Saccharomyces cerevisiae S288C: one gene and its partners. Each later gene encodes a partner of the first gene's protein in a complex. Each region holds a gene or a part of one and is shown in the gene's direction. Other genes may lie near its edges.

The links. The genes of interacting proteins can lie anywhere in the genome.
Region 2: MRPL51 (region 1) and MRPL23 share a complex: the UniProt entries of both Saccharomyces cerevisiae proteins name them as parts of the mitochondrial large ribosomal subunit.
Region 3: MRPL51 (region 1) and MRPL6 share a complex: the UniProt entries of both Saccharomyces cerevisiae proteins name them as parts of the mitochondrial large ribosomal subunit.

What each region holds. Positions count from the first base shown.
Region 1 is NC_001148.4:725,356-730,713, forward strand, and holds MRPL51 (mitochondrial 54S ribosomal protein mL43 MRPL51), read left to right. Parts: upstream 1-4,435; coding exon 4,436-4,858; downstream 4,859-5,358. Other genes in the region: LEC1 (Lec1p), read left to right, coding at 39-3,260; TMH18 (Tmh18p), read right to left, coding at 3,592-4,030, 4,127-4,173; YPR099C (uncharacterized protein), read right to left, coding at 4,402-4,758; SNT309 (Snt309p), read left to right, coding at 5,137-5,358. UniProt on the Saccharomyces cerevisiae protein: Component of the mitochondrial ribosome (mitoribosome), a dedicated translation machinery responsible for the synthesis of mitochondrial genome-encoded proteins, including at least some of the essential transmembrane subunits of the mitochondrial respiratory chain.
Region 2 is NC_001147.6:610,209-612,990, forward strand, and holds MRPL23 (mitochondrial 54S ribosomal protein uL13m MRPL23), read left to right. Parts: upstream 1-1,790; coding exon 1,791-2,282; downstream 2,283-2,782. Other genes in the region: SMP3 (glycosylphosphatidylinositol-alpha 1,2 mannosyltransferase), read right to left, coding at 1-1,180. UniProt on the Saccharomyces cerevisiae protein: Component of the mitochondrial ribosome (mitoribosome), a dedicated translation machinery responsible for the synthesis of mitochondrial genome-encoded proteins, including at least some of the essential transmembrane subunits of the mitochondrial respiratory chain.
Region 3 is NC_001140.6:392,139-395,229, reverse strand, and holds MRPL6 (mitochondrial 54S ribosomal protein uL6m MRPL6), read left to right. Parts: upstream 1-1,946; coding exon 1,947-2,591; downstream 2,592-3,091. Other genes in the region: SKG6 (Skg6p), read left to right, coding at 1-775; snoRNA-binding rRNA-processing protein IMP3, read right to left, coding at 1,145-1,696. UniProt on the Saccharomyces cerevisiae protein: Component of the mitochondrial ribosome (mitoribosome), a dedicated translation machinery responsible for the synthesis of mitochondrial genome-encoded proteins, including at least some of the essential transmembrane subunits of the mitochondrial respiratory chain.

The sequences.
Region 1 (5,358 bases):
ATAATTGTACTAAAGAATCAAAAATAGACAGTCTTCAAATGATTACTCAAGACACTCCTGCTTTAAATCCAACGGAAGAACACTACCTGAAGAGGGAACTGCTTCGATGTCAATTGGATTATGAAATTGGAAAGCTTAACGATCAGTTTGCTTTGAGAAAGTTCGGTTATCCTTTCTCACCAAACGATCCGACAGCTCCACAGCCTATCTCCAATAACGATTCATCACCAGTGCTCGGTGGCAAAGGCCATTTTAGCGTTAATTATCCCATGCTGAGTTATGTTTTGCAAGAATTTATATCCACATTTCCTTTACTTTCAACAAATTTGCTAGTTGATGAAAAATTCTGGCAGAGTAAGGTTCAAGTGTTCTTTGAACATTTCATGAGTCTTGGGTTTAGTGAAAGTTATGACAGGGAGGAAGCTTCAAAAAGGAAGAAAGTTTCCAAAAAGCTATCAAAGGTTATCTTGTTGCTCTTTAACTCCGGTGTTGGCTCTTTTCAAGAGCAAGCGTATTATAATGAGGATAAATTCGTTTTACAGTCAGGCCAAGCGAGAAAACGCTCTAATATTGAGAAATTTGCAATGCCAACTAGAGAAAATTTAGAGAATTTGCTCACTAACGAATCCGTTTTTATTAACGGTTGGGACGTCAATATTATATCCGTGTTCAATAAGAATTCACGGAAATGTACTGAAAGTGTGGATAATGACAAGTCTAGTAAATCTACTCCAACTTCGAGTCCCAAAAGCCATGCTATAAAATCATTTGCTTCCACTTCTAAATGGATGAAGAATGCCTTCAACAACACTATTAACAGTACCATAAATAGTATGCCCGAATCCTCAGCATCTTTATTTTCGAAATTATCCCTTGGCGTGCCTTCAACTAAGAGCAAGCAATCTAGAAAACATCATTATTTCTTGATTAAGATTAAGAAGCAAGATGACGACGACCAAGATAACAGCAATGAAGAGAATAGTAATCTTGATCACCATGCTGGTTATTTCTATGTGACAAGAACATACAGCGACTTCAAAAAACTATCTCATGATTTAAAATCAGAATTTCCGGGGAAGAAATGTCCGCGCTTACCTCATAGAAATAAAAAAGTGACGTCTATGATAACTAAAACCGAAGTGTTACACAATGGGCAAACTAAATCAGCAGCCAGGGAAAAAATCGTCAACACTTTTGACACTGATTTACAATCTGCATCAGAGTCTGATAATTCTTCATTTTTACAGACAACGAATGAATTATCTGCTACAGAAACAGTACTCACAGAAAAAGAAACTGAAACGTTGAGAAAAAATATTCTAAATGAGATCAAGGAAGAAGATAATATTGATGAGGACGAGTATGAGGAAGAAGGTGAAGGTGAAGAAAGTGATTTTGATGAATATAAAGATGCATCCGATTCAAAAATCAATACTTTGGTGGGTGAAAAAATGAGAACTTCATTAAGACAATATTTAAGGACTTTGTGTAAAGATGCAGAGGTTTCTCAAAGCTCATCTATTCGTCGCTTCTTCCTAAGTGGGCCTAATTTAGATATTAAGGACATAAATCCGAAAATAGCAGATGACATTAGAAACAGGGCTCTGATAGATGTAAGTAATTTGGAGAACCAAATACGTTTCCAACAGATGGCGTTAGAAAAGTCTTTAAAGCTGCAAGACTCAATGAAAGATTTCAAAACATCCCTGTTAAAAGATGAAAAATACTTGATGAGTCTACTAGTAGAAATCAAGGACAATACGAAAGTTGAAGACCTGTCACCACTTTTACAAGACTTTGTGGAATGGTGTAAGATTTATATTTCCTCAATGATTTATCAAATGTTTCTGGGTAACGATAACAGTTATGAACTCTATACACAAATAAGACGGTTACATAAGCTTATGCCGTACACAGTAATGGGACAGATCATGAAATTTACTAATCCAATAGCGATCATGAGGGGTATGATTGAATTATTTATGGCACAACCCTTCGGTGGTCATTCGCTCCTTCAAACAATGTTTTCTACGATATTAACAGATGATTTGAAAACTCAAAAGGTAGCTATAAAGGAATTAGAAAGGAAAATTGCTGAGATGGACCCGGGCGCTTCAGTTGTGACTAAATGCTTGAAGGATTTTGTCTTTAATAATGATACTAAGGATGAGCATGATACTAAACTCTTTACTATGGACGCAGTAAATGCAGAATCCGAATCCATGAACATGCCTGTACCATTGATAGTATTAATGAAAAGTGCAGCTGCAAATCTAATTCCAGACGAGGTTGTCGCGGGACTTATTGAATCCTATTCATCATGGAAACTGCAAAAAGAAGACACGGATGCCTTGAATGTAACCAGCGAAGATCAGTCAGGTATTTATTTCACACACGTCAAAGATTTATGGCAATTGTATATTAAAGAACATGATAAACAGCTAATGAGGCAGCTATGGCAAGATCCTGAGTTAACCCAAATGCTAAAGGCAATTGTCACTATGATTTACGAACCTATGGTCAAGATCTTCAAAGTTGCAAGGATGGATGTTGCTTTGAAAAATTTTGAGAAGTTCATGAGTGATTTGATCAGGCTTGTTGATGATGTTATCAATGGTCAGTTGGGCGTTTCCACACAGTTCGATGTCGTGGAAGAAATCCATAACTTAGTAACCAAACATCAAGATGCCTTTTTTGAGTTTATTCATGATGTATATTTGAACGATTCAGAGGGCATTTTTGAAGGTTTTATTACTTGGATTACTACGATAGTGAAATTTTTGCAAAAGAGTAAATTCGGAGGACCGAGTGAAAGGATCGACTTCAATAAGTTAATTTGTAGAGATGATATCGATATTGATGTCAAACTTTTGAAAGTTCAAGTTAATAATGTTCTTAATAAAAAGATTGGTGCGAGAAAAATCTATAAGAAGTTGTTAGATTTGAAGGTTAAACAAGGTACTAAACAAAATAACAAACACGCTGCTGGCATACTTCAAAAGAATTGGAGTGACATAAACTCCTTGGTTATGCCATCCAGCTCTGGATCTTTTGGACTTGGAGATGGTGATTTGGTGGATTTGGATCTCGATACAGGTGATTACGATTTTTTACATAAAGAGAATGAAGTTGAATTAGAAAAGCAATACAAAGATTTATTGAATCTTGTTGTTGATGAAAGTGAAATTGATAAATTGAGATCTCAAGTTTTCGCACAGGAATTAAAAAATTATTTAGAAGCTCAAATTGCTAAAAAGTAGGCCCTTTCTAGTATCTCCTTTATTCGTTTTTATTCGTTACGATTTTCCGGCTTAATAATATAGGATTGCTAGGTCTATATATAAGAAAAGCTTGTAGAAATAAAAAAATAGAAAAAACTTCAAGATAAATATTGTTCTCTTTTATTTTAAGATCCTACAAACAGCACAATTCCCCTTTTAGTTATTTTTAGCCAAGATCAGGATAGCAGAGAACTGAGTCCCTTATTCTTTAATTGAGGGTCAAAAAATTCCGATTGCGAACTTCATCTCCACCTTGGCAAAGGAATGACGAAAAAATGATCTTGCATATATATATTTACTTGTAAAATAATTATTTTGGAATTTTTCTTAACAAACCACCTGACAAACAAACACCGTACGCAAGCATCCCGCAAACATTAGAAAGATTGAACAAAAGACTCAATCCGTGCGACTTGCCAAATTCTTTACGTAATATAGCATCCTTTGCTTCCAATTCACTACCCGTGTATTTCTTCGCAATATTCTTTCTTTGTTCTTTAACTTTATGGGTCCAGGGCAACAACCAAAACAAATTGGTTAGCCCACTGACAGATGCAACCACCAAAGAAGATAATGGTCCTGTTGTCAAGGCAATTGGAGCGGTAAGGGCCAGGATGACAGGTGATGCCGCTTGCATTTGGAAAAAATACGGGAAGATCTTATTTTGCAAAGCAGAAAATTGGTCTTTTTCAAGAACTTTGAATGCGATTGGAGAAGCTACATAGGAATAAAACGTCGTTCCTCCAAATCTGAAAGATTAAGTTGGTACATAAAAGTTGTTAGTCAGTTATTCTCAATTAATCATAATTGTTCAAATTTTTTCTTGTGTCTTAATCTGTACATACACAAAGGAATAAAAAAGCAAATGAGCCGTAGTTTTGACTAAACACATTTTTCGTTGTTAAGTTTACTGGACTGTAAAGCGTAGTTTGATCTGCCTATATCATCAAACAACTCCATTTAACTCCCTTAAATAATACTATTCTTTTCTGTAAGTTTATCGCACTATACGTTACGGTGCTTTCCGTCTTTTTCGGATGAGGGATGCTCATAAGAATTACAACAAATCATAAGCCCTGAGATAAAAAAGATCAATCAATACGATTATCATAAACCATGACTAAGTAGATACACAGACACGAATATATGGAGAAATGGTTGTGAAAGCTATTGCACGAAATTCCATAGGTCGTAATGGAGTTGGAGCATTCGTGTTTCCATGCAGAAAGATTACTTTGCAATTCTGTAACTGGGGAGGGTCTTCGGAAGGCATGAGGAAATTTTTGACTTCAAAGAGATTAGATAAATGGGGCCAGGAGTTCCCATGGATACAGTTTGAAGTGATGAGGAAGTCTGGACATCCTTTGTTGAGGGCAGAATACACAAATGGGCGTGAAAAAGTTATTTGTGTGAGAAACTTGAACATTGACAATGTAGAAAACAAGCTAAAGCTATTGAAGGATTCTGATGGAGACATTTTACGCAGAAGAACAAAGAATGATAACGTGGAAAGCTTGAACAGTAGTGTGAGGGGTATATGGTCGCCTCTGCATGCTGCGAAAAGGCATAGAATTTAGCTTTAGTATATAAGAAAATTCTAGAAATAGAGAGAGATAATTATACTTGTATATATAATTTGGGGCAGATAAGACTCCTGATATTTAAGATTTAAAGTCAATTTTGCCATTGTTATATGATCATGTCCTGAAATATGACCTCTTGTATTTGGTTACCCGCTTTACACCCTGCAAATCACACTAGTCTAATAAATATGGAATAAGACTGAAACATATAAAAGATGTAACTTCTAGGATATCTGAAAGAGCAACCGTACGGTATTCAACGTTTAGATTTGATGGACGGCCTTAGCTTTGTTGATAAAGGGAAAATACCAGATGGTTACAAAAATGAAATAGATCAATTAGTAAAGAAGGAATTTGCGAATATAAAAAGAGAGCCTGTTCATCCCGAAATACGAGGTATACTTGCGAAGAGAAAGGGGGCCGATAATAGTGTTTCTACGCTTACAAATGCATTGTACACCGAATACTTGAAACAACGTAATAACAAAAAAAGG
Region 2 (2,782 bases), on another chromosome or scaffold:
GTGAGTATGTTTTCCACCATATGTGAACGCCCATTTGTTCGGTACGAAAGTGGAAGTAATCTCCCAAAAATTGGATAATTCCTGCTTGATGTGAAATTCCCATGATGAACGCCATGATTATGTTAAAAAGAAGCCAAGTTCCCTTGAAAATTTTCTTGTTTACTAACGTGGAACTCAGAGGTGTCCAGTTTAAGTTTGTCACGAGTAGTGGCACTAGCGGTACAAGGAATCTTAATTCTTGATGTTGAAAGAATGAAAGAAAAAGCAGGCCAGATATGATTGCGTAAGTAGATAATTTATCGAGTTTGTAACCGGAAAAAATCGCTAGCAGCAATACTGGGCCAACTATTTGAGGTAAATTGACCAGCAGATGGGTGTATCTTGGATGTAATCCATGTACTTGCAAATTTTGGACATTGAGGTTGTATTTCAGGTTATTCAAGGGCGTAATGACAAATCCCTTTCCGTTGTTATAAATATTTGTATCAATAAGAACAAATAGACACGAGGAAAATGAAAATGAAAGTAAAAGTAAAGAAAAGGATTTCCAATGGACCCGGTAAAACTTCCAGAATAATATCAAACATGGTAAGAAAATAAATGCAGGAAAAGTAACTCTATTAAAAACACCAAAACTAAATATAAGTCCCAATATAACCGAATTTTTGAAATTACTTCTTTGAATATTTTTTTCGTTTACCATATCTTCCATTACAGTTAAAGTTGAGATTAAAGCCAGCGTTTCTATGGAATTGGAAAACGTGTGTGTTTGGTACGTCCAGGTTACGTAAGAAGTTAAAAGTAGACTTTTTTTGATGAATTGTACGGCCTTTCTCTCATCCCTTATTAATTTAGGTATTAAAAAATGATAGCACAATAGGTACATCACATAGTTTTGTAGTCTCATCGAATACAGAATTAACGCTGGGTTGTCCTGAATTTCGGGAAAAGATTCTAAAATAGTGAACAAAGGCCCGTAAACCAATAATAGGGGGCCGTAACTCCTAGCAGCAAATTTTGATTTAAATTCCCATGGGATGGTACCTTTGACCTTCATGAACTGCATAGCCAAAATCTCGATGCATTGGAAATGTTCATCTGGATGAATATACGACGGGCCTAGGCATAGCATTAGGCCGATGGCATATACTAAATAAAGCCACCATTGATACCTCATCATACACTTCCAAGTACCTGATGTGTGCTTGCGAGTAAGAATACTATGATATCTTATCGGACATATAGATTTTCAGGCCTTTTGTATTGTGTTTTCATCTTTATATTACTTCAGATTGTGCGCATCTCGCGAAATCCTCAGAGCTTCAGATTTGAACTTGTTGCCGACATAGTAAGTCCTCTCAGCACCTTACTGTAGAAGCACCTTTATAAGTTATATTAAATCAATACATCTTCTATGAGATACATAGATCGATAAGTTGACTTTTTTTCACTATATTAGTGACTGGTTTTACTTCTTACAAACATTACAGTCCGCACATAAAAAGCTATTACGATGTCTATATAATGTTTTGCTCTATATTGCACGTACCAAACACGCTACTAGTAAGACATGAGTTCCATCTAGCGAAGAATCACCGCACGCTATGGTTACTTAGACGGTTATGGTTTAGTTAATTATCGTTATAATGTTGATTGTTACCCGCATGGAGCCTTCCTTGTAGTTTAGAGATCTTTAAAACGTTCTAAATAAGTAAAAGAGAAAGACCTTATGAATACACTGATATCATATAGAAAAAGAAAGCAATACCAGCATCAACAATAGCCTATTCATGTCGCAGAAGATTGGACACAGTGGCTTGGCTTTTGCGCGCCTTTGGCACCATGTCGACGTTGCCCGTGATAAGAGGACATTGGGTAGATTGGCTTCAGCAATTGCAATTACCTTAATTGGTAGACATAAGCCGGTCTATCATCCGTCACAAGACTGTGGAGACTACGTAGTAGTGACTAATTGCCAAAAAATCCGTGTAACAGGTAAGAAATTTGAGCAGAAGACTTACTGGTCTCATTCAGGTAGACCTGGTCAGCTAAAGTTACAGACAATGAACAAGGTTGTTGCCGATAAAGGATTTGGAGAAATTTTGAAAAAAGCAGTTAGCGGTATGTTGCCTAAAAATAAATTGAGAAAGCAACGGTTAGACCGCTTAAAAGTTTTCGATGGAAGTGAAAACCCTTATAAACAAAATATTACTGCCTTTGCCCATGAGCAATCATCAATACCAGAGCCTCTTAAAGAATCAATTTTTAACCAATTGAAATAGCTTATTGAAATTATTTGTCATTTTTTTATATATCCTTTTTGCAGTCTTCAATCCATGTATATATTTATCTGTTATGTAGTTTTAATCAAAACGCGTATTAAAATCTTCTTTCTTTTATGAATACTAAATATATTTAACAGTGTGTAACAGCAACATTGTTCCAAAATGAACACCGTATATTTTTCTTATAACTTTTTACATAAGTCATTATTTATGACTTGGATATTTAAGGTTTTCCGCTAAAGTTCATTAATATGTCTTGATAAAATTAAATTTTAATTTGGTAAAATGCGAAACAAGGACTATAAATAAACACTGTGAGTCCCATTTTATTCATCATTATTTTTGTGTTTTTTGAATGCTTGAAAGTTCTCTCTGCTTATTAAAAGAAATGCTTCATTCTTATTTTATTACTATTGCCTACTTGTTTACCCTTTTTTTGGCAAGATCAGCACAAATGAAATGTTTTTTATTATTTTACTTTCTTAGAGTTACAACAT
Region 3 (3,091 bases), on another chromosome or scaffold:
TTCCTCAATTTATTCCGAAGCAATTCAGCCGTTGAATTATCAGGATCAATATCAACAACAGGAACAATCACCAGTATATAATGGCCACACACAGTATCCTGGCAATGGATATAGCGGAAATCCTCAGCAACAGGGGTATACTGCGCAATTCGTGCAAAATCCACAATGGTACGGTGTACCAACTCCTCAACAACAGCAACATAATCATCCTCAGACCCTGGAAACTATTGGAGAATTACCAACTCCCGCATATTTAGCTCAATCAGCTTCCTCGCATTCATTGACCTCTTTTAAAAGACCAAACAAGCAACAACTTCTTCAATTACAGACTGCCAGACTAAACGGAACTGCGTTAAATCCGGTCGATCATCCGGAAATGTTTTATTCACCGACAAACGATGCCTATTATGCTCCACAGCAGCAAGGCCAATATATGAAGTTTAACGAAAATGGGGCGGTTCCTTCACCTTATCAACTTAGACAAAGTGTGGTAATGACCAATCCTTCGGATTTGACGGCAAAACCATCTTATAAGCCAGCAGGTTCTTTCAGAAGTGTAAGCGCAACCAATTCAAGAAATAACAGTCTGACCACACAAAATAATATCTATCTGCAACAGCAGCAGCAGCAACTGTATAATTCTCGTGTTAGTGGGATATTAGAAGAGACAGATGTTGTACAGCCACCAAGTGTTGGTGGAATTTTGCCACATAGTGGTTCACAGGACGATTTAAGAAAACAATTAGGCTCTTCACATAATTATACCGTCAACTGAAGTGTAGATAATGAACGGACAATTATCGGATATATAAATTGATGTTTTATTGGAGAAATTTTACAAATTGCGTATTTATACAAATTAATTTATGTTAAATAGGATTTTTTCGAAGTGTATTTTTAAGTTTTAAGGCATATTTAACAAATGACGCCGATGAGAAATTGTTTTGCGGTTTTTCTTATTTTTGCATACGACGAAGAAGTTCCTTTGTGTATATAACAATTTTTCATGCTTCCAGCTTTTAAGAAAGCTCAGGCGCCTCACATCATTTGTATTTGCTGCCTCGTTGCCTATTCGTAATAATTTCACAATGTAGGAAGATGATAAATCGAGTATTGATACAGAAAACGTAAGTTTGTAGTCAATTTATGAAAAATCAAAATCGTCGATTTGGTTTCTGTATCTCAACAAGGTTTTCTTGATCTTAGAGTTGTCCACCCAAGTAACGTAGTCCTCCATATTTCTCGTTACGAGGTAGGCTGGATCGTTGATCAAATTTGGACCCACGCGAACATGCCCTTGTTCAATGAACTTGACTGCATCTTGTATAGTTTCCGCCATTTTTAATCTATGCATTATTACAGGTAATCGCCTCCTACAGATGGCACTAACAGTAACTTTATTTTCCAGATCAGAAATCTTTGATTTAGTTGTCAGGACACCCATAGCGTATAGCTTGTCCAGTAATAATTGCTCATGTTTGCGACGAAATGGATCAGTGGGAGGTAATAATGATAATTTATTGGCAAGACGACGAATATCACCGCATATCCTATTGTATTTATGATAATCTTCACGATTCTGAATATGATATGTTCTCATGACCTGAGTGTCCCGGTGGCCTTGGTCCTGCTTCCATTCAAGGAAGTCTACTTTTTTCAATAACTTTTGCTCATGATGCTTTAGTTTTCTAACCATTATTGGTTGTGATTATGCCTGGTGGTTTATCTATTTAGAACGTTCTATATTACTTATCCCATTGAATTTTTGTTGCGATGAGCTTATATCAGTGAAATTTTTTTCACTGGAAGTAGAGGGTAATGAAAGGCGAGCGGAAATAGCGAGGAGACGCTACGGTTATAGAGGAAGAATATCAAATACTAGTAAGTAAGGGAAGATCACGCAATAAAGCTATCGCAAATCTTACTATAGGAATTGAGGCCAACCTATGTCATTTATTCAGAGGAGGTTATTGTCGCAAACACTTTTTCTGCGCTCTCAAGTGGGGTCTTTACCACTTTATATATCTCCTGAAGTTCAGGTTTCCATAAATGCATTATCCATGCCCAGGATTATCAGAAAAGGTAGAACTTCAATGAATATATCACAGAATATCACAGTAAAGGGACCCAAGGGTGAATTGTCCGTGGAGGTCCCTGATTTTTTGCACTTGGACAAGGATGAAAAGCACGGTAAAATAAATGTTACAGTTCAGAATTCAGAAGATAAACATCAACGTTCGATGTGGGGTACAGTAAGATCACTTATAAATAATCACATTATAGGTGTTACTGAGGGGCATCTTGCTGTCCTTAGATTTGTAGGGACAGGTTATAGAGCTCAATTAGAAAATGATGGTAAATTTGTCAACGTTAAGGTGGGTGCATCTATCAAACAAGGATTGGACGTTCCTGAAGGTATTGTTGTCAAAACACCTGCTCCCACGTCTCTGATTATTGAAGGGTGCAATAAGCAGCAGGTCCTTCTTTTTGCTGCCAAATTGAGAAAATTCCATCCACCAGAGCCGTATAAAGGCAAAGGAATATACGTTAACGATGAAACAATAAAGCTAAAGGACAAGAAAATCAAATAACTTCAGGATTTCAGTTATTTTCGTACTCATTTTCGTAATTTTTTTTATGACATGTATCTTTTCTTATACTTTATAGGGAATACCTTGTAAATATCCTATGAAAATAACTTAAATGAAATTTATATTGGTTATTAATGCGGTGACGTGTTCTTGCTTGGTAAACATTTTGGTGTTCAATGAAACTCTTGGCTTGCAACCTTTAATATATACTAGTTTCACGGAATATGAACGCAATAAGTAAGGCCACAGAAGTTCGAACCTTACCTTTCATTTTATACAGTTTCGAAAAGGGAACACCATTTAGACTAGAAACCAAATATCCTCTTTAACGTTCTGCTAATGCTATATATTTTTTGATTCCAACGCTAATAAAGATTTTTTTTCTTGAGTACTTTTCATGTTTTGTTGTAGAGAGCCCATTTAAAACAAAGATGTTTACCAGAAAACAAAAGAAAAGATCAAATAAGTGAGTAAATGAAATGCTGTACCTTCCAATTTCT